Coturnix japonica: one gene and its partners. The protein of the gene in region 2 purifies or fractionates together with the protein of the main gene of each other region. This does not show direct contact. Links are inferred from orthologs where the notes say so. Each region holds a gene or a part of one and is shown on either strand. Other genes may lie near its edges. The genes, in order: PLRG1, SF3A1, PHF5A, RBM17, SNRPA1, PRPF8 and DNAJC8.

Region 1 (4,121 bases), on a different chromosome or scaffold from region 2:
TAATGACAGCCAAGAAAGAACACTGCATACACCAAGATGATATCTGACCAACTTAAAATCATATCACAGAATGGCTTAAGTTGGAGGGGATCTTAAAGGTCATCTAGTTCCAACCCCCCTGCCATGGGCAAGGTTGCAAACCATTAGATCAGGTTTTCAGGTATTTTATAAAGCTGAATATTCAAAGTACTTTGTTTTGACTTGTAGTTCTTGTAGATTATGCAAATGTTAATGAAGTAATAAAGCAGTACCTGGACTGAGAAGCAGGAAGAGATACTGCTAAGGACTGAGCTGCAGATTCACTCGGCATCCTCTGGATCTTAGTGTCTGCTGTCAGAGCCACACCTTAAAAAAAAAAAAACAAAATTAAATTAAAAAATTAAAAAAATAATTAAAAAAAAAATCTCAGTTTAACTCTGAAATACCTGATTTAAACACAGAATTTTACTTACCAGGCCCAGGTGGATATGGATGTGTGCCAGTTATCACATACTCCAGTTCTTCTCCTAAAGACCAACAAAATAACGCATTCAAACAAAACAGTACAACAGAGTAGGTGGTGCAAAGCATCCTCAATTTGACAACATCCTCAACCCTTATTAGCTCTCTAATACCCAAATATAGCACACACTAGCATTACCTTAAAACTTGCTTGTTTTACTAATGAATTAAGTCTCCTACTGTTTCCTTGTGAAAACAAAGAACAAACATGGTACTAGGAATAACAAACCTTCATTTCCGGAATACTGTTTATGTCCATATGGATCCCCAGTGGCTGGGCCTCCTTTCTCTCTCATGTTTTCTTTAAGAGTAGGCATGTGCAATACTGAGCCGTACTCAGTACGCAGCTTGACTGCCATCTTTACTTTGTGGCTGTTGGAAGAACAGAGCATAATCCTGATTAAATCCTGATTTTTGAACTGCTACTAAGTTTTGAAATATTTTAAAAAACAGGAAACCTTTCATACAGCTAACATTACAATCTTCATGCTTTTCAGTTCCCTTAACTGCTAATTGTACTGAACACCCAAACTCCTGATTTGGATAGGATTGTTCTCTATAACTTCCTGAAGGGAGGTTGTAGTGAGCTGGGGGTTGGCCTCTTCTTTCTTGTCATTAGTGATAGGACTAGATGAATGGTTTCAAACTGTGGCAGGGGATATTCAGGCTGGACATTAGGAACTACTACTTCTCAGAAAGGGTGGTCAGGCACTGGAATGGGCTGCCCAGGGAGGTGGTGGAGACACCGACCCTGCGGGTGTTCAAGGAACGACTGGATGTTGTGTTGGCTTAGCGGGAGCTAATAGTAATGTGAACGGTTGGACTAGATGATCTTTTAGGTCTTTTCCAACCTTGGTGATTCTATGATTCTATAGAACAATTGCTAACAAAGTAAAACTCAGCCACAGCACTCACCTTTCATCATCTAATGGTACAGGTTTGGCATTATCAGCTACAAACATATCATGGGTTCTCTTCAAAGATCTGAACACAAGTGTGTGCACAGAGTGCTTCTGGACTTCCTAAAATAAAGGAAAGCATATTTAAATAAATTTAGCCACGTTTAAATGAAAAACTGAAATCTGAAAAAGAAACTGAGTAGCAATTTCAGACTTGCATATGATACAACACTATTCCCATCAAACACTGCTCCTCTTAGAAACTACAGATTCAAGTATATCTATTAGTTGTTTTAATTCAATGCCTGCTCAAAGTAAAACCCAGTTTCTCAGAAATGACAAGCCAGAAAAAATTTGCACTATCATCTAAAAATACATGAATACGTTTATCTTCCATGTTTTCTAGATGCTTTTATACCTAAACAATAAAGTACCTGATTCTGAAAACATTCCTTTATTGCACTACCTCCATAAAAATGAACATCAGTTTCTGCACAGTGTCACCCTATGTAAGAACAGTGATGTTTACTATAAGAAGTAATCCTGGGATCAAATAAGACAAAGCCTCTTGTCCTTTTGAAATTACACATTACTAAAAGCTAATAATTGTTAATATCTCAGTCAGGGCCAAAATAGTAGAACTTAAAGCTATTAGCTTATATAGAATATTTGTTTAGGACCGCGCAATTCAGGTTTTAATTCCTACCTTCCTCTCAAGGCACAATAAATAAATAATTAGAGATGTGATAATCAGAGTATGAGCCTCTTTGTGCTCGCTCTGTATGTCACAAATAGGAGCAACACAGAGTGGAAGCATTAAGAACTTCGGGCTCTAGTTACCATTCAGCTGCCCAGCCTCCACACTCCATTAAGCTGGGGCTTCCTCCACTAAGCTCTGCTTTCCTGCCCTGGACTCTGCTTACCCACTCATTGCCCCATTCTGCCACACTTCATACTCCCCTAACTCAGTAGGGCCCACACAAAACTTTTAGCTCAGGACGGTCCTGTAAAATCTAGATATCAAATAAAGAACATCTATAATAGGGCTTGGGAACTAGAAATTCCATGCAACTGCAAAAAGAAACAGGAATTACAGTAGCAAATGTCTGCTTGTCGCAATAAAAGCAATAGGTAACTCAATACCTCCACAACAGGAGGTGAACAACTATAGATATCTCTGGACAGTGATGACACCCAGTAAAAGAACTGTTACGTAGGAGAACTGCACAGCATCTTCTGTGCTCCTACCAACAACACTCAGTAACACAAGAACTGAACCGCCCTCACCTCCACCATGGCGCCGTCGCTCCCCGCTCCCCGCTCCCCACCGACAGCGATGGAGACACGTCCGGCTCCTGCTCTATACCTCATAGGAAGTGACGCAAATCGGGTGCGCCGGGCTGCATTGAGGAGCTTGCAACGCCAGGGTGCGGTGTTGCACTGGCGTTTTGTTCTTGGTTTGTTTTAATAATAATATGTTGGTTTGTTTTGTTTTGAACTTACAGTCTCGGCACTTTGCGTGCTGTCGTCTGCTGAGTGAATCGGGCTCGTTTTTAGTGCATCTTGAAAGGAAAACCTCCTTGAAATAGAGACCTTTGTAGCAATCCGAGAAAAGAAAGATCTGTGTTTTGTAAGAAAACTTCACTTACATGTGCTACTTATTACAGCATCCTTAGATTTTACAGAGGCCTGTAATTACACTCTTTTTTTAAAGACCCCCCCCCCCCCAAACGTTTACATCTAATTGAACATCTAATTCTACAGTAACCCTGTCACAGTGTGACATGTACAACGCCAGCGGCTTCCAAGGACGTTTCTAAATCAGCTGCCAACAACTGGATTCCTTTCAAAATCACATTTACTGGCACAGCTTATCAGTGGCCCAAGATGGCTCTATTCCCCCTTGGCCCAAATTACCTCTGTGATGTGTTCAGCCTAAAGGAGCCAACATACAAGGATGGGGTTTGTGTAAAGAGTGTTGCACCATGGGCAGATGATTTGGCAAAGCAAACACAAGAGGCGGCACATGAAAATTCATTCCTAAAAACACACACATACACCTCTGCCAGTAAGTAGCTCTCCAGGACAAAAGCAGTGTACAAAGAGATGTTCTGGAATACCATTTCGGAATGCTACAAAGAGATACCGGAATACCATCAGGTCAATGCTTTCTTTTCGCAGTTCTTCATAGCAGATTTGTTGCATTATCAACACTACGTGAGTTCAGGAAGAGTTTCTCATTAACCATGTGAGCTGGGGAGGAAGTGAAGAAAACACAACGAAGAAAGATGTTCTGTTTGGAGACAAAGCCTCCTTGACACCGTTTTAAGAAGAAGATTAAGCCATGTTCTTGGTTGTTCATAAGGCTTTATCCAGTCGTTATACAGTGTCAGCCTAGCTGTAACAGTTGCAAGCATCAAAGAAAAGTCCCATCTCACACCCAGCAAGCCAACTAATGGAGATTAGGTCCTGCTCCCCAAATATTTGTTATATTCATGTATGTTTTCCAATATACCTTGCTCCCCCTGCAGTTCCAGATTCTGACTCATGCTAGAAGCATTTCTCGCCAGTGTAAGTCATGTCCCCATGCAGGTGGAGCTTTGCTGAAAAGCCTCTTCAGGAAAAAGCCTTGTGGTACAGACACGGCTCCTTCTAGGACAGATGCTTCTTCAACCCAAATCCGCACACCAGTCTTGGCACAATGGGCATGTGGTTCATTCA
Region 2 (3,991 bases):
TAAGATGGCCTGGCTAACACCAGCAGTTTATGTTTTCATGTTGGTAACAGGAGGAAAAAGCCCAAATGAATAAAGATGTATTAAACTTCCAGGCTTCTCCCCTAACTGTGACATCTATACTTGTGATAATCAACCTGCTGCACTAAACTAGGATAAATATGCCATGCACATCATGGGCAGTTCACCTACCCCAGACCTCTCCCTGGGAACATGCACTTCTATCCCCTTGGCTATAGAAGGGAAGAGACAGCTGAGTCAGAGTGCCCCAGGTGCTGGCACACTTCATGAAGTTGTAGGTGAACAGGGATGGGACTGAGCCTCAGGGTCCAACAAGGAACCTAGTGTACCCTAAAGGAGAGGTAATTGCCCACACAATGTAAAGTAGAGTAAAAATAAATGAATGACTCCTGTTGGCTTAGTCATTCAATAAGTGCTAGTAACAAACAAGGCTTCCTTTCCACCTGCAATTTTGTTTGCCCTCCAGGTCATTTTAAAAAGAATTTATTTACTACCACAGCTTTTCTAGCAAAGCACATATTAAATCTCCAAGGAGACAATTGCTGCCTCTATTCTACAATCTCACTGATAAAAATTCAATCCTTAGAAACCTCCAGGGAACGCTGTGGGACTGTGATTTGTTTCAGCTTCTGGAGACACACAGACAGTAGCACTGGAAGGTGAGAGGCAGAAAATTCCCATGAAAGACAAGACAACACCACTGCTGTTTACCTGGCTACGAAGCTGGCAGTCTTGTCAACAATATTCCTGACCTCGGGAGGAGGATAAATAATTCCCACCACAGGTTTGGCTGGTGCTGCTTCCTCTTTTGGCTCCTCTTCTGGCTGCAAGAAAAACATTTTTCTTACAGTCTTATGTATTGCTACCTCCTAAGTAGCAAAAACATTCCTGAACCACCATCTCTGGAAGACACATTTCACTCTGCAGTATTTGCCACTAGTCAAGATAGTAAATTCAAACAGCCTAAATCTAACATGGTAACAAGCAAAGGAGCTACAAATGATCTCGAATATCACATCATACATCAGCATCAGAGTGTGCAAACACAGCCTGGTAGTGTCCAAACTTTGATTGTGTTTATTTTTAGTGAGTTGAGTTGTAAAATTCACTTCCCTTTCTCTTTCAGTTTCTGTACCTTGAGTAACAGTCCTATGGTACCTTAAAAAGCTGTTCTGAAATACCATGCTGAAGGAGTGCTCTGGAAGAATTAAGCATTTCAAACAGCAACTCCTGCAGCAGACAGAACTGCCTGTTCTCCTCAGACCATGACATTTTCGTGGCACGAAGATATAGTTTAACAATCTGAACCTGTAGTCCTGCAAAGCAGCAGCACTCAGCAGCTTCCCAGGCGAGGAGATGGTGTTTGTCAGCCTGCCAAGGGCACCTGCTGCGGGGGCTGCTGCGAGTGAGACAAGCAGGAAGGCCATCCCATGGGAACCAAACAACTCTTCCCAGTGTTTCTGCTCTTTCAGCCTCAACCCAGTGGAAGTTTATAGATGTTGAGCCAAGATGTAGCAAAGCATGCCTATAACACCACACCCAGGAAGAATTCAGTATTGCTGGACAGCTCTGGAAGTTACAAGCATTGCAGGTTGGATATTCATAGATATTTCTTTTCGGAAGGAGCAGTGCTGCACTGGCACAGGCTGCCCACGAAGTGCTGGAGTCACTGACCATGGAAGCTTTCAAGAAACATGTGGATGTGGCACAGAGGGAAGTGGTCAGTGGGTATAGAGGGGATGGGGTGACAGCTGGACTACATGATCTTAGAGCTCTCTTCTAAACTTAATGATTCTATGATTCCTAACGGTCTGCAGGGCTACCAGAAATGGGAATCTAAACGATCAAGCCAACAGTAAATAACACATAGCATCCCATCCTACTAGGGCTTTAAAGCTTTTTTTAGAGCTGAGAAGAGCTCAGCTGAGTGTTTTCCTCCCTGTGGTTGTGGGAGGACCTGCACCACAGCCCCAGCAATCACCCCAAGGGCAGCTCTGCCTCCCAGCACAGCCAGCTGCAGTTCTCTGTAGGATGCTGACGGTGCCTCCCTTCCCTCACAGCACAGATACAGGGGACATCTTGATGGTAACTAAAAGCCTGCCAGACAAAACAAAAACACCCAAAACATTGGAGATTTGGAAATAGTTGTTCTCCACAAAGCGGTGATGCAGTGCCAAAGGCTGCACAGAGAGCAAAGGGGGGGGTCAGCATCCCTGGAGGTGCCCCAGGATGATGGAGCTGTGGCACTAAGGGACGTGGGCAGTGTGCACGGTGGAGGCCGGCTGGGGTCGGACATGGGGATCTTTGCGGCTTTTCCCAACCTTAAAGATCTATAAAAGACGTTAAAAGAAAGACACAACAACCCCTTGGAGCATTCACCCCCACTTCCTCCAAGCAGCAGATGGAAGGGCGGTGTAACACCACCATTAAGCGCTGCTTTTAAACGACCACAACGCTGCGCTCCCTCGTTAACTCCACCATAACAACGCGACGGTACATTCACATGGGGCCGCACCCCGTCACAGGCATTAAACCCCGGGGTGGCCGGTCACCCAGCCCCGTATCGGCCATGCAGCCCTCGCTAAATCCCGCCCACAGGCCCGAAGCCTCCATGCCGCGGTTCCTACCGGTTTGCTCTCTGCAGGCGGCGCTGGCTGCGCCGGAGGCCCGGCCTGCACAGGCCCAGCCGGCATGGCGATACAACAGACCGCTCAGACAAGGCCGCAAAGAAGGCGCCGAGACGCTGACAAAATGGCGGACAGGCACCTCGAACTGCGCATGCGCGCCGGAAGTGACGCTCAACGTCGCGACAGGAAGGAGGCGCAGAGGGGAGGAGCGCATGCGCAGAGGGTGGTTCCGCTCGTGCGGGCGGGGCGTTGCCATGGCAGCGGGTGCGGCGCCGCGGCCTAGTCCCAGGCGGCCGCCTCCAGCATCACCTGCAGCCGGTGGGACCGTCCCGGCGTCCCAGCGCCCTCAGCGCACACAGCGCTGCTGTTCGCCTCCCGCAGCTCCCTGCAGGCCGCTGCCTAGACACCCCTCACCCCAAATCATACAGCCTTGGGGACGCAGCGCCTGTCCCCTCCATCCTGCTGGCAGCCCTTTGGTGTCACCCACCATCCGTTCCCAGCGCTGGTCCATCCATCTGTCCGTCTGTCTGTCCACCCATGGCTCACCTCCTGGGCCACCCCGGCTGCATGGCGAGCCTGCAGGCCGACCTGAGGGACCTGCAAGGAGCCATCGCCGACGTCACCTCCCGCACCGGCCCTGCACGATTCCCATCCTGGAAGTTCCCCAACAAAGTGTCCTGTGAGCTGGACCTGCTGGCGCTGCTGGAGCGGTACAGTCACGCCGAGGGGGATCCTGAGTTCAGCCAGCATGCGCATGTGGTGCTGCTGGAGCTGGTGATAGACAGGTGAGCGGGCACAGCACCCTGCAAAGAGCAGCAGGGGCACAGCAGCTCCTTCCCCACGGAGAGAAGATGTGTGATGCTGCCAAGTGCTTTGGGCAGCGGGTTGGAACTGGGTGGTCTTTGAGGTCAAAGAATCACAAAATCATTGATAGGCCATCTGGTCCAACTCCCCCACAGCGAACAGAGACACCCACAGCTACATCAGGGTGCTCAGAGCCCTGTCCAGCCTGGTCTCGAGTGTCTCAGTCCCTTTTTCTGACCCTCCTCTGGCTATGCTCCAACAGCTCTGTGTCTCTCCTGCACTGAGCACTCCCCATCTGGATGCAACACTCCAGGTGAGGTCTCACAAAGCAGAGGGGCAGATCCCCTCCATCACCCTGCTGGCTGCACTGCTTTGGATGCAGCCCAGGATACAGTTGGCTTTTCAGGCTGTGAGGGCACAGTGCTGGCTCATGTCCAGCTGCCATCCACCAGTACCCCCAGGTCCTTTTTGTCGGGGCTGTGCTCAGTTCTTTTGTCCACCAGCTTTTACTGACTGTGGGGGTCCCTTCCAACTCAAGCTTT
Region 3 (3,952 bases), on a different chromosome or scaffold from region 2:
AGACAACAAAACTACTGCTTGTCACAGCACTTCTAGATGTAGAAGGCAGTACCACCAACAGCATTTCTATCCACATATAATACTTAGATACTAAGAAAGATGGTGCTCCCGCCAGATCTACTGACTAAATTCAGACACGGGCTTGCCCTGCAAGACCTCTAGAGAAAATATGGGTGCTGCAGAAAATTAAAGCAGCAGCTCAGTCAGCTAAGTACATTCCTCTAAATCAGAGCTGTTTGTCAGCACACTCTGCTGACATCAGGGTGTGCTGGAGATGGTGTTTGCAAAGGATCCAGCCCCAAAACCACACAGCCGATACTCTCCATTGGGTCCATACTCTGACACACTGCAACCGCAAGCATCACGTTCTTGCATTTCCCTACAGTCTTTCTACTACTTCATTGGCAGTTCTTCATGACTTGCCCTCACTATGATGGATATTATTGAATACCTAGAGAGCGAGCATCTGCCTTGTCAAAGGACGAAGGACACTAAGGGCTAATTTTACTGTAACACAAAAGTAAACATGGGTGGTGATTCTGTAGGCCTTATGGTACCATATATGCCAGTGGCATGATCATACCATGTATGGTATGATCACGGACACAGTAAGAAGCTGATCCTGCCACTGCCTTTGCAACGTCTAAAGTGTCTCTGCTGCTGATAAAACTTTGGCTGAGAGATTTAGTAAGATAACAGCTGAAAGTGGTAACAAGCAGAGCGTGGAGGAAGTGAACTGTGAGTATGCATCGTAAAGCACACAAGGATCCTATGGGATACAGAATCGAGGCACTGCTCGCTACCTCAAAGTGCTCCACAAACACTGGGAACCACCGACAGAAAAAGAAACATGCAAGGAAATGAAAACCAGTGCCAGTTCTGGGAGAGGAACCCAAGCATCCAATGTCCTAACATTAATATCACTTGCTCTAAGTCCCTTTAAAGATAAGCATAGCTATTAAACAAAGACATAAGCAATTCTACAGGAGACTGGATGACAACGTACATCTTTTTCCTGGATGGTGCACTCCTTGCAGTAGTAGGCATCAGACACCCCTGGGCCCCCGCAGATGACGCAGCGCCCTTGGTACGAGCCGTAGTTACACTCATCACATATGCGCACCAGGGTGCAGGGCCGCACGTACGAGTCACAGATCACACATTTGCCATCACCTGCAAGTACAGCAGTCTTTGGTTACAGAACGTCCTTTTCTCCACCCCACATAAAAGAGGAAAAGTCTGCTGGACAAAGAACTTGCCTGTATGCTCAAAGACAACGCAGTTAGACTGCAGAACTTTAGCTTACAGGCACAAGGTGCAACTTTATATTTACACAGACTTCAGAGGAACGAGGGCCAACAGCCAGCCATATCCAAGGCCAAAAAAAGGGCAAACCGGCATAAATTGCCACTTCACAGAGTTGCTCTTGCTTTCTCACAAGGGACTGAGAGAAATACAAGTGCTCTTATCATACAGGCAAACAGCCATCAGATGCCATGGACAGTCTCTGCTCTGCGGGCCCCGATCCAAAACTCTGACCTCCAGATGAAAGGCTTCAGATCTTATTACCAGTTCCCAAGGTATTTAATCCTGACTCTCACAAACAGCTCATTTAACCTGCTCTTCAATCTCAGTCCCAACTGCCCTCAGCTACTACCACTGGGAATCCATTTAACTTCTGTGTACTTCTGAAAACAGTTCAGTTGCTTCAGACTGTGCTTCTCCTCACTTCGCTTGTTTTTAACATTTTTTGGAGCCTAGAAATAGCTGGCTTACTTGTACTGAGCTCCTGCAAGGATCTAATGACCAATTGTGCTTATTCTTTTCTGCTATAGGTGAGCACGAGCACAGAATTATAGGGGTTGGAAGGGATCTCCAGGAATCAAGTCCAACACTTTGGCCAAAGCAGGTTCCTTGCAGTAGGTTGCATAGATATTTGTTTTTGCATATTCATCTGCTGTAGCACTTTTTTCCATCCATTTCCCATTCTAACAGATGCTGAAGGGAAGCTGTGCGGTCTTTTTCTCGCACTTGCTCCATACACTCAGGCCAACACACAGGTCACTCCTCCCAGCCCAAGCTGCAGTTACCTGCTATTTCTATTTGGTTGTGACCCCAAGTCAGCAGCAGAGCAAAAAGAGAAACCGAGCTGCAGGCACTTACCACAGAGTTGGGTTCTCAAACAACTACACGCAGAAGATGTACTTACATTTCTCACAAAGCCTTCCAATTGCTGTAAGGGGAAAAAGAATGCGAAAAAACACATATTACTTGAGGCTACATTTAGAACGCAAATACAAGCGACGCCTGTCCTCAGGGCACACCCACCCGGCCCACAGTCCCTCCGCACGGTGTCCGGCCAACGGCTCCCACCGGCCATAAGGAAACCCGCACTCAGCGCCGCATCGCGATCCCCAACCACATCCCTGCGGCCTCGGGGAGCGCCACGAACCCCGAGCTCAGAGGGCCGAGGGAAGAACGAGGAGCTGCGCGAGGGGCCTGACGGGCACCTAACGGGCACCTAACGGGCTCGAACTGCCGCCCGAGCCCACCGTCAAGGTGCGGAGGGCCACGACCGCGCCGGTACTCACCGACGCCCGCCTGCTTGCGGCAGAAGATGAGATCCGGATGGTGCTTGGCCATGGCGCCGGCGACACTTCTCGGTGCTCTGCCGCCGTGTCCCGGTCCTGTCAGGGGTGTGGAGAGCGTCCGACAAAGCGGCGCTCCGGGAGGGGACACCGACCCGTAACCGAGCTCCGCATGGTGCTTCAAACCCAATCCGCCTCGCTGCTCCCTTCAACGCGGGGAACGCCCGTACCCCCGCCATGGGAACGCCGCTCTCTCCTCCGGTACCTCCCTGCCAGGACCCGCTGGACCCCGCCCCCTTCAGCCTCCTCCCGCGCCAGAGGTATCAAAAGGGCGGACTGACGCCATCGGGGCGCGACTTCATCTTTGTCAGTGCACAAAATGGCGCCGTACTGCGTCCTGGCGGCTCGGCTGCGGGTGAGCGCCGCGGGACGGGCGGGGCCGGGCGAGGCCGGGCTGGGCGGTGGGGTGAGGGCCGCTGCAATCCTGGACGGAGGGCAGAGGGAGCGCGGGGCGGCGGGCGGAGGCGTGGGGCCGGGTCTCCGCTGTCTGCGCGTGTAGGTCAGCGCGTCCCCGGCGCGGCCCGACGCCCGTTTCCATGGCGATGGCGGGGCCGCACCGGCGGAGGCGGCTCGGCCGCCTGATGGGCCTCGGTGTCGGGCGGGTCCCGCCGCCTCCGGGCACCGCTGAGCCTCAAGGTGAGCGCAAGGTGACCGCGCCCGGGTAGGCCGAGATATCGCGCCTGGGGCCGTGCTTCCTCCTTCCGCGGGCTCCTCCTCATCTCGTGCCGTTAGCAGCCTGTGCCCTTGGCTGCCCGGCTCCAGGACTGCGGCCTTTCATGTGGATGGGAGTTCCTAGATCTGTTTGTTAAAGGGGCCGTGCAAGGCCAGGCGGCCACATCAATTATCTTTTTATTATTATTATTTTATTTTCCAAATGGCTTGAATCTACCTTCATAATGACTCTCCCAGTCTTCTCCATTGTGACCTCTAAAACCCACGTCTGCTTGTGCCCATCACGGGCACTACAGTACTAAGGGCATTATCCCGTTTACTATCTACTCACTAATAAACACTTGATTGTTTTTTAAAGCCTAGAAGGCAGTAGAATGCCATTTTCTCATGTAGTGCTGCTTGCTGTGCTGCCCTCAGTACGTGCCACATGGTGAAGCTGAGAGCTCGGACTGCTCCATTTGCCAGCTGTGACCTTGGGGAGGGTGTTCCCTCTACCCAGGGAGCTGCAGCAATAACCTTATCAGAGAGTCACAGAATAGCTCAGCTTGGAAGGGACACGTGAAGGATCGTTGAGTGAGGTGCTTTGAAAGCACTTTGTGAAGAAGGCAGTGGGCGTAATACCAAGCTTGCCA
Region 4 (2,250 bases), on a different chromosome or scaffold from region 2:
AGTGCTGCGTGATGCAGTGGTTTTGTTACTGTTCTAATCAGACCTGCTGGGGTTTGTTTTGTTTTTGGGTTTTCTTTCAGATTCCTGGTGCCCCTGATGATGAAGCTGTAAGAATATTTTTGGAATTTGAACGGGTTGAGTCTGCAATTAAAGGTAGGTTATTAAACTGTGTCATATGAATTTCAGAGTTCATTTCTTCAAAGAGATTAAACAGTCTCGCTCATTGGACTCAGATTTTTAGTCGCTGATTTGCTGCTTGCTGACCTCTTTTTTTGTTGCAATTATAGCTGTTGTGGATCTAAATGGAAGATACTTTGGCGGCCGAGTGGTGAAGGCTTGTTTCTACAACCTGGACAAGTTCAGAGTACTGGATCTGGCAGAGCAAGTTTGATTTTAAAAATCTAGCTCGAGGTGTCACTGTTTTGGCAATCATGTTTTCAGCAGTAGGCTGGGAAAAAAGAAGAGAAAGTAGCTTTCCTAGCAGACTGGAAACAAGCCTCATTGAATGGATTTTTCGCATTCGTTGTGACTTCATTTTTTTGTAATATAAAGCCCTTTGAAATTAAGATTCATGTCTGTTGTGTTTTTGAATTGCACAATTCTGCTTATTGCTCTGGGAATCCTTGGTTTTTTGAACTTTTCATCCCTTGACTTCAATTATTTTGCAAACCCACTGCTGAGGAAATGCTTTGTCTGTATCCTTGTTTTCCTTGTTCTGGTGCTTCTTCACAGTTTTCCTGTGCAGCATCCACTGTAAGTGGGAAGCTTTGGAAAAGGACTGTGTGCTATTATGCTTCTCTTTCCTGATATTTCCCTTGCTGGTCAGTCCTCCATCTCTGCACACCAGAGTGATTTGGAGTCGTTGGACAGTTGGCAACTAGTTTGTTCTTTCCTGACTTTAGCACAATATTTTCTATGCCAGAATGGAGACTAAAGTAAAAGGGAGTGAGTTTGTGTTTCTTCCCAAGTCCAAAGAAAACACATTTAAATTGAGGGAAATGGAATAAGAAAGGAAATAAAAAAGGCTCAGGCATTTGAATCAGAATGAGTGGACTGTTAGCAGATGCTCTGCACTGTCAGACAGTCTTTGCTAGCAGCCTTAACTGATTGCAGGTAGTTATTGAAATGCTGTTTATAGAACTGAGAGAAACTTTCATCTGGCCAGCTATCAGATTCTCAATTCTTCTAACGTAGGTAACTAACTTTTAATTGATTTACACCTAAGAAGAATGCAGTGGAAGAAAATGCTCATAGAAAAGTATGAAGAAATGACAAACTAAACTTCTAAACACTGCAGCTCTTTGCAATCTGGTGTAAAATAGTATGTAGCATTCTCCTCCTGGTTTCGTGTTCACCTTTTGTTTGGGAACCGTATGTGACAGAGGTGGCAAGAGAAGGCTGTGCAGTGATGGTGGCTGTGTGCTCCATTGCATTTACAATTCCCACTGAAGTTGTGTGGGCATTAAAATGGAAGGGAGCTTTGAGGGCATTTTAGCTGTTCAAAAGCTGGATGTCTTTTTCCTGTTATACACATGTATTTGGGGGAGGGGATATAGATCTGTAGTTGATCAATGCTGTGAGTATCTCCAGTTCTTGCCTTTTTTATTAAGTTTTGGCTGCAGATCCATATGACAGACCCTTCGTCTTGTTTCTTGCTTATTTTGTCTGCTTGTGTTCCAGCAACCCCTGTACAAACATTTGCCTGTAAAAGAGAAAACAATTTTTTGTAAAAAAAAACCCTTGTATTTTACCTACCGTGTGTCAGCTTCCTTAATGTCCTCTTCTTTTACACAAGGCCTTCCCTCCAAGGTGTTGGCAGTGGCTGTAATCCACCATTAGAAGATCCTCAGTGCAGCAAAGGTGAAGAACCAACCTGACTAATGCTAAAACCACAGGTCTCGGGGCCATAACAGAATTCAGATTCTATTACCTCTGCTGTTAGTTTTTCTGTTTGACCTTGAGCAATATACTTTAAAGCCTTTTCTACTATGTAGTAAAATGAAGAAATTAGCCTAATAGCAATTAGCATATATTTGCTTACAGGAGTTAAACAATTTGAATGTCATGCTGGTAATCCATTTATTGTGATGTGAACATAAATTGAAATAGGAGAATAGGCTTTTATTTCAGCAAATACTGCTGTTCTGAATGAGTAGCTGTTAAAACTTCCTGAGTTTACAGACTTATTCTTCTAACTGGCTTTTCTGCCTTTTTAAGCTGTCACACCAACTTCTGAGCTTCCAGTTTAAT
Region 5 (4,105 bases), on a different chromosome or scaffold from region 2:
TGGAAGTCACAGCTTGAAAGAGCTGCCTAAATGTGACCCAGCTTCACAGACCTGCGCCCTGTCCTGCGTGTATTTGGGATGTGAACTGGGTGTTTGATTCATTGATTCACTTGTTCAAAAGCCATCACAGACATGGGCCATTTCCACTCATTAACCACAGCGAGAGCACATTTGATAACAGTTCTAAGCACTCACTGAGCACCCTCAATGTGATCAATAGATTTTTCAGTTCCCAGTCACTATAGAGAGCAAAACCAAGCAAACCACAGCCCCCTCTCTGCAGTAAAATAACACAGAGTTCCCTGTTTACTGCTATATCCCGATCCACCCTGACCAAACGGGTCTACCATAAAGATCTCAGATGTGTTCACCACCATCCAAACAACCAGGGCCGTCTCAGTTCGGTGCCGCACACAACGTGGTGTTTCTGAAGGAGAACGCCAGTGCAAGCGTTTGTTTTATCTTACGTTTTTGATCTCCTGGCAATATCCTTTGCAAGCTGTGCACCCCGTTTGCCCTTGAACATTTTCTCTGCCTCCTGTCGCTCCTACAGCGATACCACACATACAAAGTTAATGGAAGGATGTAGCATTTCGCAGAGCTGCTCTTTGCAAAGAAAGATGCTTTGGCTCATCTTCAGTGAACATCAGCATGAGGAGCCCAGGACAAGCACAAACACATTGCACAAACACTCCAACTCGAGGTGTAGCACTTCAGTGCTCTTAGAAGCAACAGCCCCAAGCAGAGGGCTCTGCTCTGATCCCTCATTCCTTTCTCTACGTTCCCCTTATCACCACCAACACCGGCCAGCCAGAAAAGAATCAGACTAAACAAACAACAGCAGTGAAACATCAATTAAAAACAATAAAGCAGATTACATCCTTAACGGCGTGAAACCATCAAAGAGAAGCACCAGCTTTAAAGCCTCATAGGACAAACTGTTCCACTGCCATTTACAGCTGGGGCAAAAAGCTTTACTGATTTCACTACAGTTCTATGAGTTAATAGGAGAAAAGGTCTCCATCTGGTGTTCAATCCGAAGGTAACAGACTTACTTTGAGTTTCACTTTCTGAAAATCCAGCACTCTGACTTGGGGAACTTTGTAGATAACATATAATCTGTAATGCTTCTTATTTGTTACTGGGTTCCTTAAAATGCTACGAGGCAAATAAAGGTCACAAAGAGTTACTTCATGTATTGAATATATTGAAATATATCACAACAAGCCGCTGCTTTTCTTTTCAAGATTACCCACCTCAGGTAAGTCAATGTTTTAATACTTGATAATGGATCCAGTTCACCCTATATAATGGAAGAACAGAGTAAGAATCTTAAATCCATTTCACGACAATCAAATATTTCAGAATGAAGCTCCTGAAGAAGACGACTAATTAGAAAGAGGACAAAAACATTAGAGCTGTCAAGATTTATTCTGCATCACTAACTTACCAGTTCAGAAATGTTGTTGTTGGTAAGAACCAGCTCTGTGAGACTGGGCAGAGCTTGTTCAAGTCCTTCCCCAATCCGACTACAGAAGAATAAAAACACAAAGATTTTACCTTTGGCTGGAAATTAACAATGGTGGACACAGACACAGATATATTAAAAATCACGGAATCATTAAGGCTGGAGAGATCTCAGAGATCATTCAGCCCATCCCCACCATGCCCAATAAACCTGTCTGTGGCCAACACAGCTGAAAGCATTTTGGGCCACCTCTGTCCCCTCTCCATGGCTCTGGAACACCTACAGAGACAGCAACTCCAACCACCTCCCTGGGCAGCCATGCCAACATAGAGCACCTCACTTAAACACAGCCAAGTATGACAGCAGCAGAAGTTTGGGTGAGCATCAGCTTTGTAACAAAGCCAACATAAAACAGCAGCTGCCACTGTAAGGGCACCAGGTGCAGCAAGGTAGCTCTGTTCACTCAGCTGCAGGCACCCCTGTCTGTGCATCACTATGGGGGTAGTGAACAACCCCCAAGGACCCAACACAAACTCCAGGCCCTGCATCTCATTGTCCTGTATGAAAATGGAACACAGAGCTGGGGCAGAACTTTGCAATGAACAAAGCCGGCTAATTGAAGGCTGAAGCAAATACCAAGCGCTATTTCTTCCCCATAAAGCAGATATTTTTACACCTATCAGGTATTAAAAGACACGGGCACGCTTCTTTTCCCTTCTTCACTCTGCTCTGCCCCAGGTCCCGTCTGATCACAACACTGATCACAACACAACCACGTACCAAATCCTGTTGTTATTCATCAGAAGAGTTTTCAACCTTCTCAACAGAGGGAACCCATCCAATTTCCGAATCTCATTATCCGAGAAATCAATCGCATCGAACTGATCCAACGTAGCCCCTAAATTCTCAATGACGGGGATTTTATACCCTGTGGGGGGGAAAAGAAACGTGAGAAGGGAATAAAGCAGGATGGGATGGAGCTCTGGGGACACATGAAAGAGGCATTTAACACACAGAACGACCCCCCCCATTGCACGGCCCGTTCCCAGTGCAGGCCCCACGCCTCCCCTCAGCGCAGGCCCCACACAGGCCCGCTCCCGATCCCCCCCCACAAAGCCAGGCCCGGCTCCCTCCCGGCAGATCCATCTCACCCCGCAGGTCGAGCTCTCGGTCTCGCACGGCGTTGGTGTATTGAGCCGCCTGCTCGATCAGCTCCGCCGTCAGCTTCACCATCCCGCCCGGACACACAGGCCGCACCGAGCCCACAACGCGCCGCACGGCCGAGCGAGGCCGAACACAGCCGAGTACAGCCGAGAACAGCCGAGTACAGCCGAGAACAGCCGAACACAGCCGAATACAGCCGAGTACAACCGAACACAGCCGAACATAGCCGAACACAGCCGAACACAGCCGAACACAGCCGAGCACAGCCGAACACAGCCGAACACAGCCGAGCATAGCCGAGAGGAAGAGGGCCGTCCTCTTGCAGCCCCTCCTCCACAAAATGGCGGCCGGGAGGGGCTGTATAGAGGTGGCTTTTCTGAGCTGTCGAGCTGGAAGGAAAGCGCATAGAAATCAGAATCATGGAATCACAGCGTGGTTGGGTTAGAAGGGACAGCGCTGGGTGTTGTAGAGGGGAGCATCCATCGCTTGTCTTGGCAACCCGTGCCAGTGCATCATTGTAAATAAGAGCCAATTTAAATAAATAAAAAATAAATAAATAAAAGTTGTCCTTGTGCCCAATTCTGGTGTGGTCGCAGTTGAAGCGCTGCAGCACTTCGGTCAGCAGAGGGAACTGCTTCCCTGTGCACAGCCCAACACAGCTGGAGGCGTCTCAGAGCCACCTGAATGCGGACCTTCCTCCTATAGCACAACACACTGTATTGCTCAGCTCTAGGGGTTGTAATGGGGTTGTAACAGAGCAGTTCTTGGTTTCAGATGCTGTACACGAGCTCTGGAAAGCTCCTTTGTACTGGAAAGTCCAAGTGGTGGTTTTTAAGATTGCTGTGGATGCAGCCTCACAGCCAAACTGCGAGCGGGGCTTCAGGCTGCACTAAGATCCAGCTGTTAGAGTTGAGTTGTTGGTGCCAAGAGACAATGAAGAAATGTGCTTTAATAAATTGTATTCGTTTATCTGGTAGAGGCACACTTTGATCCTCTGTGCATACCAGCGGCTGAGAGGCTTTAATAGCTCCAAGCAATAGCTTAGATAAATAATCTGAATGTTATTGCTTTCCAGGAATGATTTCTGAGGGAGTCGGAGCCCTGGGAAACACTGGGAGCTGATGTCGTTGTATGAACTCGACACGGAGGATTTGTTTCTCTTTCCCTGTGGGCTGGAAGGCAGCAGAAAGCACAGACTGCTGGGGATTGGTCATCTTCAATTGCACTACCTCAGCCAGGCTGTGCTTTCATAGTTTGTGCCAAGGATAAGGGTAAATTCAGCATTTCAGTGCATCTAAATATACCACGGCAGAGCTGAGTGCCAGAGCTGACACGGTGCTCCCGGCTGGGACTGGGACATGACAACAGCAATGGAAGTTTGTTATTTGATGAGCAAAGTGGCAGAAGCCAGAAGCATTTCGCCCCATTTCTGACCTCTGGTTTGGCCCGAGAACAACAGGGGGATCCCAGAGC
Region 6 (4,231 bases), on a different chromosome or scaffold from region 2:
TGTGGGAAGTGAGGATGGCTATTTCAGTGTTGCTTGGACTTGTGGCTGTGGATCCTGGGCAGAGGAGGTGCTAGTGGATCAGACACTGGGGGCTCTGCTCTCCAGCACCTATGGATGATGTGGTTGAACAACCAGGAGCTGCTCAGAGAAGCCCTGAAGGCTCTGGCAGCCCTGAGAAGGGAGCAGGGAGAATTGTTTCCCCTTTGCTTTTCTGGACGTGCAAACACTACTGTGTGTTTCTAACCTCTTAGGTGCTGCACCCTGCAGGGTCCTATTGCCTAAGGGACTCTGTTCTACCTCTGGCACTTCCCATGGGACAGCACCAGGCATCTCCAAGGCTTTGCCCTTCAGTCCAGGGCTGGTTAAAGCCAAATCCTGCACCTATAATTCCTCACAGAGGAGACTGTGCCAGGTGAGAGATGAAGGTTTGGACCTGTCCTTATCAGATGCTGCTGGCACTGGACTAGGGACAGTGGGAGCTTCAGTGCCATCCTTGGGGACAGGCTGCTAACTTCAGACAACTGGAACTTTTCTAGTGTTATTTTGTTCCCAGATCTATTAACTCCCTATAAGTGAGTGTGGGAGCACGTGAGCTGCAGGTCAGGATGATGGTGTGTGATAGTTGCTTCCTGTGAATGGGATGTTTCACATGGGTTAGATATGGGCATCTATGAGGAACCAGAAGTCTTGGTGTAACGCTCTCAAGCAGCAGCAGCAGCTCTTACTAACACAGGCTTTCAATAAACAGCAAACAAATCAGCTCAAGGCTTTAAAGGGAAAGGACTTTTTACACCCAATTTGCTTTTGAAGGCTGTGGAGCTGCTGGGGGTGCCTCTATCAGCAGCTCTGTGCCCACACAGCCACTGCTGCTCAAGGCTGCCATTGTCACCACGTTCCTGCTGTCACACCATTGCCACACACTGGGGACGTTGTTCTGAGCCCTAAGGGATGTCTCACAGTGCTGGCTCCATACAGCCTGCTGTATAGGAACACATTGTGGGTATGGCTTGTGTGTCCAAACTGAAGGATACAGGGCCCAGCTTTGGGATGGGAACCTGTGGGGACAGAGATGGGGCCTCTCTCTCTCTCTCACAAGGGATACCCATGTACAAAGGGGAGGCTGCCTGAGGAAACCCCCATACAGCCATATCTGCCCCTTAGGGCCCATAGCTGGGACAGCCATATCTGCCCCTTAGGCCTCTTAGGCCCCATAGCTACGGTATCTGATTGTCCAATCAGAGCCGGCGTCGAGCTGTCACCGCTATCCCTCTCCACCAATCAAAATCGGCAGAGGGCGGGACCGGAAATGAATAGGCATTCAACCGGTAGTGTACTCTAAACACAGCTTCCTTTCCTCTTCCGCACTTGATCCCGCCTCCTGCCCTCCCCGCGCTCTGATTGGCTATCCCCGCTGTCTGTGAGGCTGCCCCGAAAGCTGATTGGACGAGCCTTCTAGCCGCGCACCCCACCCACATCCGGGTCTCTCAGGCGCGGTGGTGGTGGGCTGCGCCGCCATTGTGGTGCGGGAGTGCGGGACGTCGCAGCGACCGGTGTGTGCGGGGGGGGCCGGGCCGCGGGGATGTGGAAGGGACCGGGAGGGGGGAGGAGGGAGCCGTGATCCCGGTTTGAGCCCCTTGTTCCTCAAATCTCTATGGAGATTTTGGGCAGGGTCCAGAGGAGGGACAGGAAGATGATCAGGGGGCTGGAGCACCTCCCCTATGAGGACAGGCTGAGGGAGTTGGGTTTGTTCAGCCTGGAGAAGAGAAGGTTGCGGGGTGACCTCATTGCAGCCTTTCAATACCTGAAGGGAACCTGTAACCAGGAGGGGAGTAAACTCTTGGAAAGGGCTGACAGTAGCAGGACACGGGGAAATGGTTTGAAGTTAAAAGAGGGAAGATTTAGGTTGGATGTCAGGGGGAAGTTCTTCACTAGGAGAGTGGTGAGGCCCTGGAACAGGCTGCACAGGGAGGTTGTGGATGCCCCGTCCTTGGAGGTGTTCAAGGCCAGGTTGGACGGGGCCATGGGCAACCTGATCTAGTAAAGGTGTATGTTTGGTGGCCCTGCCAGGCAGGGGGTTGGAACTACATGATCCTTGAGGTCCCTTCCAACCCGGGTCATTCTGTGATTCCTCCTCCACAGGTGTGTCGTCATGGCCGCCGTCTTCCCGTACCGCGGCGGCTGCGCGCCGGTACCGACCCCGATGGCCCCGCTACCTGACTACATGTCTGAGGAGAAGCTGCAGGAGAAAGGTGAGTACGGCCTGGATCCATCGCACCGCGCCCAACGGGACCGGCCTCACCTCATCCCGTTACTTCTGTGTCCCCGCAGCCCGCAAGTGGCAGCAGCTGCAGGCCAAGCGCTATGCCGAGAAGAGGAAATTCGGCTTCGTGGACGCTCAGAAGGAGGACATGCCCCCCGAGCACGTCAGGAAGATCATCCGCGATCACGGCGATATGACCAACAGGAAGTTCCGCCACGATAAACGGGTCTATCTGGGGTACGGAGCTCCCCATGAGGAGCGGTGCCTTCAGAATGGGGCTCTGGGGACAGCTGAGCTCAGACAGCAGCATCACAGCACAAGGGTGGCAGTGGGGTGCAGGAGAGGATGAGATGATGAAGTGTTTGCTTGGAGTTCTTAAGGCAAAATATCATTTAGAAGAGGTTTTGGGGGGAGATTGTGACCTAATCAGCCTTTTTTCCCTGTGATTAAAGTGTCGTGTGGGTGTCTCTGTGTTGTTTGTGCTCAGAGAACTGTCTTGTGTAAAGCAGGGTCTGTTGCGTTCATGTAGTTACCCATAAAAACTCATTCGGTGTTTTTTAGTATTATTATTACTGAATGTTTTTAATGCATAGCAATCTCTCTGAAGCCAACCAGTAGGAAAAGCCTTTTGGTAGTGGAATCTGAAGCAGAAGGATAGTTAAGAAGGCTTGTGGGTTCATCACAGAAGGCCTTTATGTGCAGGTTAGCTGAGCAGTTTTATGAGTGGGAGGTATACAGGTAACTGAACTTGCTGCAGACAGGTAATTGTTCTCTGGCGATGCCTTCCAGCTGTAATTTTCCCTGATTTCTGGTTGTAGTGCTTTGAAGTACATGCCTCACGCTGTTCTGAAGCTCTTGGAGAACATGCCTATGCCCTGGGAGCAAATCAGAGATGTTCCAGTCCTGTATCACATCACAGGAGCCATCTCTTTTGTCAATGAGATTCCCTGGGTTATAGAACCAGTGTACATTGCACAATGGGGGTAAGTGCTTTTTACTTAACTCTGGGGGGACACAATGAGTGAATAACCACACATCCACAATAAAGGCAGCATGTAATGTAATGGTCTCTGGTTTCTGCCAGGTCCATGTGGATTATGATGAGGCGAGAGAAGAGGGACAGACGTCACTTCAAGAGAATGAGATTTCCCCCATTTGATGATGAAGAACCTCCTCTGGATTATGCTGATAACATTCTCGATGTGGAGCCTTTGGAAGCAATTCAGCTTGAGCTGGATCCGGAGGAAGATGCCCCAGTACTGGACTGGTTCTACGACCACCAGCCACTGAAAGACAACAGGAAGTATGTGCCTGCCTGGTAACACAATTCACTGTGGGGCTTTAAGAAAATAAGCACTAAAATCTTCATGCACTACATAAATTAAATGTATGTAAAAGTGCATAACTTTTGCTTATATAATATTGGTCTATGCATGGTGTTGGTGGGATGAGAAAACCTTCTTTCAAGGATAGGAGGGAGAATCTGACTGCTGTAGTCATCCCTCTGTCTTCAGTGCTGAGGGAAGGCAATCAATCCCTCTCTGTCCAGGCAGGTTACTGCATGGGTAACTGGTAAAACTGATGTTTCTTGACACATGATAAGAGTGAAAACCTGGATCATCTAGCTTTTATTTGAGTTTATTAAATATACAGTGCGTTTACAAACTGGAGGCTCTTGAATCTTGTCAGTTTGATAATGGAGATGGAGGGGAACTGGCAGATGTAGTCCATGGAGATCTTCAACAAGCCTGTACATTTTATTTTTCTGCCTGGAGAGGGACAAGAGTTATCTATCCTTCGTATTTTCTGCAAATAGCAGAAAGGTAGAAGACCAGTTGTTTTGTGGCTGCAAAATTAGTGTCCTATGCTTTGTTTCTCTGCAGGTATGTGAATGGTTCTACCTACCAGCGCTGGCAGTTCACTCTGCCTATGATGTCCACGCTGTATCGACTGGCTAATCAGCTGCTCACT
Region 7 (4,033 bases), on a different chromosome or scaffold from region 2:
ACATGTGGATAACTTTGGCCAAAGCACACAGTCTGCACGGCTGTCTTACACCGCACATAAACACCACCCAGCTTAGTCATCATCCTTCAGCTCCTTGATCTTGTGCTTGTGGCGCTCGATCTCCTTCTGCAGCCTCTGGATCTCCTTCTTGTGGTGATCGATCTCCTCCTCGTGGTGTTTCCTTAAGGCTGCCAGCTGCTCCCGCTCCTTCTCCCTATAACAGAGCACAACGCGGGGTGGGCCCCGCACACACCGGGGTCCCGCAGCGGGGCAGGGCTCAGAGCTCAGCCCCCCCTCACAGAATCACAGAATGACTCGGGTTGGAACGGACCTCAAGGATCATGTAGTTCCAACCCCCCTGCCTGGCAGGGCCACCAAACATACACCTTTACTAGATCAGGTTGCACAGGAGACCCCATAGATCCCCATAGAGACCTCACAGACCCCCACAGAGACCCCATAGATCCCCACAGAGACACCATAGACCCCATATTGAGACCCATAATCAAGTGCCATGGCCCGTCAAACCTGGCATCCTACAACCTCCTGTGCATGTCCTGTCCAGGCCCTAACCACTCTCCTTAGTCAAACTTCCCCCTAACATCCACCTAAAATTCCCCTTTTACCTCAAACCATTTTCCCGTGTTGCTATATCAGTCCCTTTCCAAGATTACTCCCCTCCTGGCAGTAAGTTCCTCACGGTACTGAAAGCTGGCAATGAGTCATCGCCAACCTCTCTTCTCCCAGGCTGAACAAACCCAACCCCTCAGCCTGTCTCTATTGAGGTGCTCCACCCCTGATCATCTCCTGTCACTCCTCTTGGACCCTTATCCATAACTCCACTGTCTATTTTACTCGATGCTTCACACCCGTGTCACCACTGAGTACGCTCCTCTCTGCGCCTGCCTTTTACCGATACGCTCTTCCGCTCACGGATAGAGCCCGCACCTCGCCATCGGCTCCTTGCCCAGCTCCCGAGTTGCATTAACAAGGCGTGAGTCTCCTCACCTTGCTCAGGGGTCCGTCACCCCACCGTTCACACCTTGCCCGCACTCAAACCTGCGGATCCGAGCTCTGCACGCCGCTGCTTGTTTGCTGACCATGATGCTCATCTCAGGCCGCCGCAGCGGCACAGGCGCCATGTCGCCTGCCCTGACACCGGGATCCGCGCGGTGACGCGGCCCGCCACCTCGCAATGTCCGCGCTTCCTCCGCCCTCTGCAGCGTTACCACGCGTCGCCCGCGATCAACGTGACTGGCAGGCGCCTTCTTGGTGTCGTTGTCGCGCTGGCGCATGCGCACAACGTCACGCGGTGCTGGCGATGGCGGCTCCTGAGGAGCGCGGGGCGGGGGGCGCCGCCGAGGAGGCGTTCCTCACCTTCTACAGCGAGGTAACGGCGGCGGGGGGGCTGCGAGCCCGGCCCCGCTATACCGACATCAGTCTGTCCCCTTACGCTAAAACGCGGCCTAACATGGGGGTGCGGCCTGGCGGGCGGAGCGGAGCCTGTGTGGGGGCGGGAGGGGGCGGCCCGAGAACTGCGGTTGTGTGGGGATGTGAGCGGCACGATGGGCTCCGCTGTGGGCTTGCTCTGTGCTGCTCTATGCTGGGCTCTGTTCTGCTCTATCTCTCTGTGTGCTCTATTTGCTCTCGTTTCTCTCTAATGTTGCTCTGTGCTGCTCTATGTTGCTCTGTGCTGCTCTATGTTGCTCTGTGCTGCTCTATGTTGCTCTGTGCTGCTCTATGTTGCTCTGTGCTGCTCTGTGCTGTTCTCTGCTCTGTTCTCCTCCCGCTGGATCCCCGCAGCTCCTTTGCTCTGTGTGCTCTGCTGTCAGCTCCCAGCTCAGCCCGTTGTTCCTGTGTGGGAGCTGGAGGGGGATGACCCCACTTTTTCTCTGTGCATCCCTCAGGTTGCTTAATTGAGCACTGTTCAGTGAACATCTACGTATTCCTTTCCCTAATGATGAATAGTGATTGACAGTCCGGTCTTTGGTTTGGGTTTACAGCGAGAGGATGGGGAAGTAAATTGCGCTGACTGGATAAAAATGGTCAGAGTGAAACGTATTTGCTTGCTTACAGTGATGTGATGGCATCCAATGGGCTCTCCTGGCAGTGCTGGGTTAAAAGCAGCTTTGCAGCTGGTATCCAAGGTATCAGGATGACGGCACTGGGAAAGTGTAGGAGTGAAGTGAGGGCAAAAAGGCTCCGTTGCTGAGCAAGACGTGGAAGACAAAGACAGAAATGTTTTCTGGGTTTCTTTTATAGCTAAAAGATGATGCTGACGGTGCTGTTACACTGTGTCCTGCTAATGTTGAGTTACTACAGGCTTGAGATGAGCAAGAGGTGTTGTGAGTTATAGCACCGAATGATAACAATTGGTGTAGCCATCACATAGGAAAGCAGGTAAATATGTTGTTATGGTTGGTTAATGAGAGCGTCTTTTGTTCTGCAGGTGAAGCAAATTGAAAAACGAGATTCTGTTCTAACATCAAAAAACCAAATTGACCGGCTGACCCGACCTGGATCTTCCTATTTCAACTTGAATCCTTTTGAGGTTGGTCTGATCGTGTTCTCCTGTCTGACATAGCACATCCCATTCTAGATTTACTGAGTATTTCTTAATGGAAAGAGGCCAGAATCAGAAAGGTACCGAATTCTAACCATGGATTACAGTGCAGGAGACAGGAGGATGATCTATATGTGCTTGTTTTCTTTATGGCAGGATGAAATTGTTGTTGCCATGCTTCTCTTGTTTAACAGCACTGGCAGAGTAATGCTAACTGCTTTGTGAATGATAACATAACAGGTGGCACGCTGTCAGGTTCCCTTCTGACCACTGTGGTCTTAGGGTTTCTGATTGTCCTTTATTTTGGGTGTTCATCCCACTGAACTTCTGTTCATAGAAGGATAGAGAGACTCACTTGTTATAGCAGAGAGTAATCCTGGAGGAGTCACTGGGAACTGCATAACTCCATTGCATGATGTATTGTGTTGTTCCAGTTGCAGTTAAAATCTTACAAGGAAAACACTGAAGGGAATACATTGTGATGTTCTGGGTATTCGTACAATCACAGATTGGCTTGGGTTGGAAGGGACCTTAAAAGCCCACTCAGTTCCAACCCTCTGCCATGGTGAAACTATTGCAATAGGTGACTTGCAAACTAAGGTACAGCATCATCCACAGGGGTCCAGAAGCAGAGTGCAGCCGGTATTGAAGGAGTCCATTAAATGGTACAGAGACTGGAGTGAAGTGCAGACCCTGCAGCCAAGTTCTGTGATCCATAGTGGTTCCCTGGGCAACGTGAGATGTTGGCAGCATCAGGAGAACCTGACAATACTGACTCCTAGAAAGAGCAGTGTTGGAATGGGGACTTGAGCTGTGAATTCATAACTATGGAAGTTCTGTGACCAGACTTAAAGCACTGGGTTGGGCATTGCTCAGAATCTATGTTCAGCTGTTCCCAGCCTCTCTGATATCTAAAGACAAACAGAAATGCAATGGAGTTTATTTTCTGCCAAATTACATTGGCACACTGAAAGAAACATAGCACTGCTAAAAATACAGTGTCCCAAACATGGTGTCCCTTAAAACGTTTCCATTTTACTAGGTGAAAACTCATATCCTGAAGCAGCTCCCATTGGGGTGAGCTTTCTGATGTGCCTGTATGCTGATGAACCAAGTTTTCAGAGCTTGCCCACCTTGAAACGTGGGGCATACAGTTGAATTTGCTCTGTTGTTGTCTTTTTTAGGTTCTGCAGATGGATCCTGAAGCTACAGATGAAGAAATAAAGAAAAGGTTCCGACAGGTATTTGACTTTTGCATTTGAAGCTTCTGAAATGAAACAAGAAGCTCTGCAGAGATTGTGCAGCTGTGCTTGGGAATGGGGAAAGCAGTGGAAAAGCTGTGTCTGGGTAGAGACAAGCAGCTGTTTTGTGAAGAAATGTGTAGAACAATCTTTGTATCTGTGAGGGGAAAGCTGGTCTGTGCATGGTTTGCTGCTTTGTAACATGAGTGACTGAGCCAATGTGAACTGA

Evidence for each region.
Region 1: the proteins of SF3A1 (region 2) and PLRG1 fractionate together in Homo sapiens (co-fractionation; 3 studies listed by BioGRID and IntAct, with this or other methods). This does not show direct contact. The link is inferred for Coturnix japonica from reciprocal best matches to the Homo sapiens genes SF3A1 and PLRG1.
Region 3: the proteins of SF3A1 (region 2) and PHF5A purify together in Homo sapiens (affinity purification with mass spectrometry; 3 studies listed by BioGRID and IntAct, with this or other methods). This does not show direct contact. The link is inferred for Coturnix japonica from reciprocal best matches to the Homo sapiens genes SF3A1 and PHF5A.
Region 4: the proteins of SF3A1 (region 2) and RBM17 purify together in Homo sapiens (affinity purification with mass spectrometry; 4 studies listed by BioGRID and IntAct, counting the BioPlex papers as one, with this or other methods). This does not show direct contact. The link is inferred for Coturnix japonica from reciprocal best matches to the Homo sapiens genes SF3A1 and RBM17.
Region 5: the proteins of SF3A1 (region 2) and SNRPA1 purify together in Homo sapiens (affinity purification with mass spectrometry; 6 studies listed by BioGRID and IntAct, counting the BioPlex papers as one, with this or other methods). This does not show direct contact. The link is inferred for Coturnix japonica from reciprocal best matches to the Homo sapiens genes SF3A1 and SNRPA1.
Region 6: the proteins of SF3A1 (region 2) and PRPF8 purify together in Homo sapiens (affinity purification with mass spectrometry; 4 studies listed by BioGRID and IntAct, with this or other methods). This does not show direct contact. The link is inferred for Coturnix japonica from reciprocal best matches to the Homo sapiens genes SF3A1 and PRPF8.
Region 7: the proteins of SF3A1 (region 2) and DNAJC8 purify together in Homo sapiens (affinity purification with mass spectrometry; 4 studies listed by BioGRID and IntAct, with this or other methods). This does not show direct contact. The link is inferred for Coturnix japonica from reciprocal best matches to the Homo sapiens genes SF3A1 and DNAJC8.

Annotation. Positions count from the first base shown.
Region 1 is NC_029519.1:18,056,570-18,060,690, forward strand, and holds the start of PLRG1 (pleiotropic regulator 1), read right to left. Parts: upstream 2,801-4,121; 5' UTR 2,772-2,800; coding exon 2,688-2,771; intron 1,524-2,687; coding exon 1,417-1,523; intron 874-1,416; coding exon 731-873; intron 507-730; coding exon 453-506; intron 346-452; coding exon 252-345; intron 1-251. UniProt on the Homo sapiens protein: Involved in pre-mRNA splicing as component of the spliceosome. Component of the PRP19-CDC5L complex that forms an integral part of the spliceosome and is required for activating pre-mRNA splicing.
Region 2 is NC_029530.1:9,656,315-9,660,305, reverse strand, and holds the start of SF3A1 (splicing factor 3A subunit 1), read right to left. Parts: upstream 2,801-3,991; 5' UTR 2,712-2,800; coding exon 2,646-2,711; intron 843-2,645; coding exon 730-842; intron 1-729. Other genes in the region: coiled-coil domain-containing protein 157-like, read left to right, coding at 3,183-3,434. UniProt on the Homo sapiens protein: Component of the 17S U2 SnRNP complex of the spliceosome, a large ribonucleoprotein complex that removes introns from transcribed pre-mRNAs.
Region 3 is NC_029516.1:45,263,379-45,267,330, reverse strand, and holds the start of PHF5A (PHD finger-like domain-containing protein 5A), read right to left. Parts: upstream 2,801-3,952; 5' UTR 2,644-2,800; coding exon 2,592-2,643; intron 2,476-2,591; exon of another isoform or gene 2,381-2,475; coding exon of another isoform or gene 2,329-2,380; intron 2,234-2,328; coding exon 2,210-2,233; intron 1,174-2,209; coding exon 1,007-1,173; intron 1-1,006. Other genes in the region: ACO2 (aconitate hydratase, mitochondrial), read left to right, coding at 2,968-3,003.
Region 4 is NC_029516.1:3,132,081-3,134,330, forward strand, and holds the end of RBM17 (splicing factor 45), read left to right. Parts: intron 1-80; coding exon 81-153; intron 154-287; coding exon 288-391; 3' UTR 392-1,750; downstream 1,751-2,250. UniProt on the Homo sapiens protein: Splice factor that binds to the single-stranded 3'AG at the exon/intron border and promotes its utilization in the second catalytic step. Involved in the regulation of alternative splicing and the utilization of cryptic splice sites.
Region 5 is NC_029525.1:15,973,711-15,977,815, forward strand, and holds the start of SNRPA1 (U2 small nuclear ribonucleoprotein A'), read right to left. Parts: upstream 2,801-4,105; 5' UTR 2,702-2,800; coding exon 2,620-2,701; intron 2,397-2,619; coding exon 2,249-2,396; intron 1,530-2,248; coding exon 1,451-1,529; intron 1,304-1,450; coding exon 1,257-1,303; intron 1,159-1,256; coding exon 1,056-1,158; intron 548-1,055; coding exon 468-547; intron 1-467. UniProt on the Homo sapiens protein: Involved in pre-mRNA splicing as component of the spliceosome. Associated with sn-RNP U2, where it contributes to the binding of stem loop IV of U2 snRNA.
Region 6 is NC_029534.1:4,156,542-4,160,772, reverse strand, and holds the start of PRPF8 (pre-mRNA-processing-splicing factor 8), read left to right. Parts: upstream 1-1,431; 5' UTR 1,432-1,550; intron 1,551-2,139; 5' UTR 2,140-2,149; coding exon 2,150-2,249; intron 2,250-2,328; coding exon 2,329-2,497; intron 2,498-3,078; coding exon 3,079-3,243; intron 3,244-3,344; coding exon 3,345-3,563; intron 3,564-4,143; coding exon 4,144-4,231. UniProt on the Homo sapiens protein: Plays a role in pre-mRNA splicing as core component of precatalytic, catalytic and postcatalytic spliceosomal complexes, both of the predominant U2-type spliceosome and the minor U12-type spliceosome.
Region 7 is NC_029538.1:1,423,203-1,427,235, reverse strand, and holds the start of DNAJC8 (dnaJ homolog subfamily C member 8), read left to right. Parts: upstream 1-1,233; 5' UTR 1,234-1,321; coding exon 1,322-1,390; intron 1,391-2,449; coding exon 2,450-2,551; intron 2,552-3,747; coding exon 3,748-3,804; intron 3,805-4,033. UniProt on the Homo sapiens protein: Suppresses polyglutamine (polyQ) aggregation of ATXN3 in neuronal cells.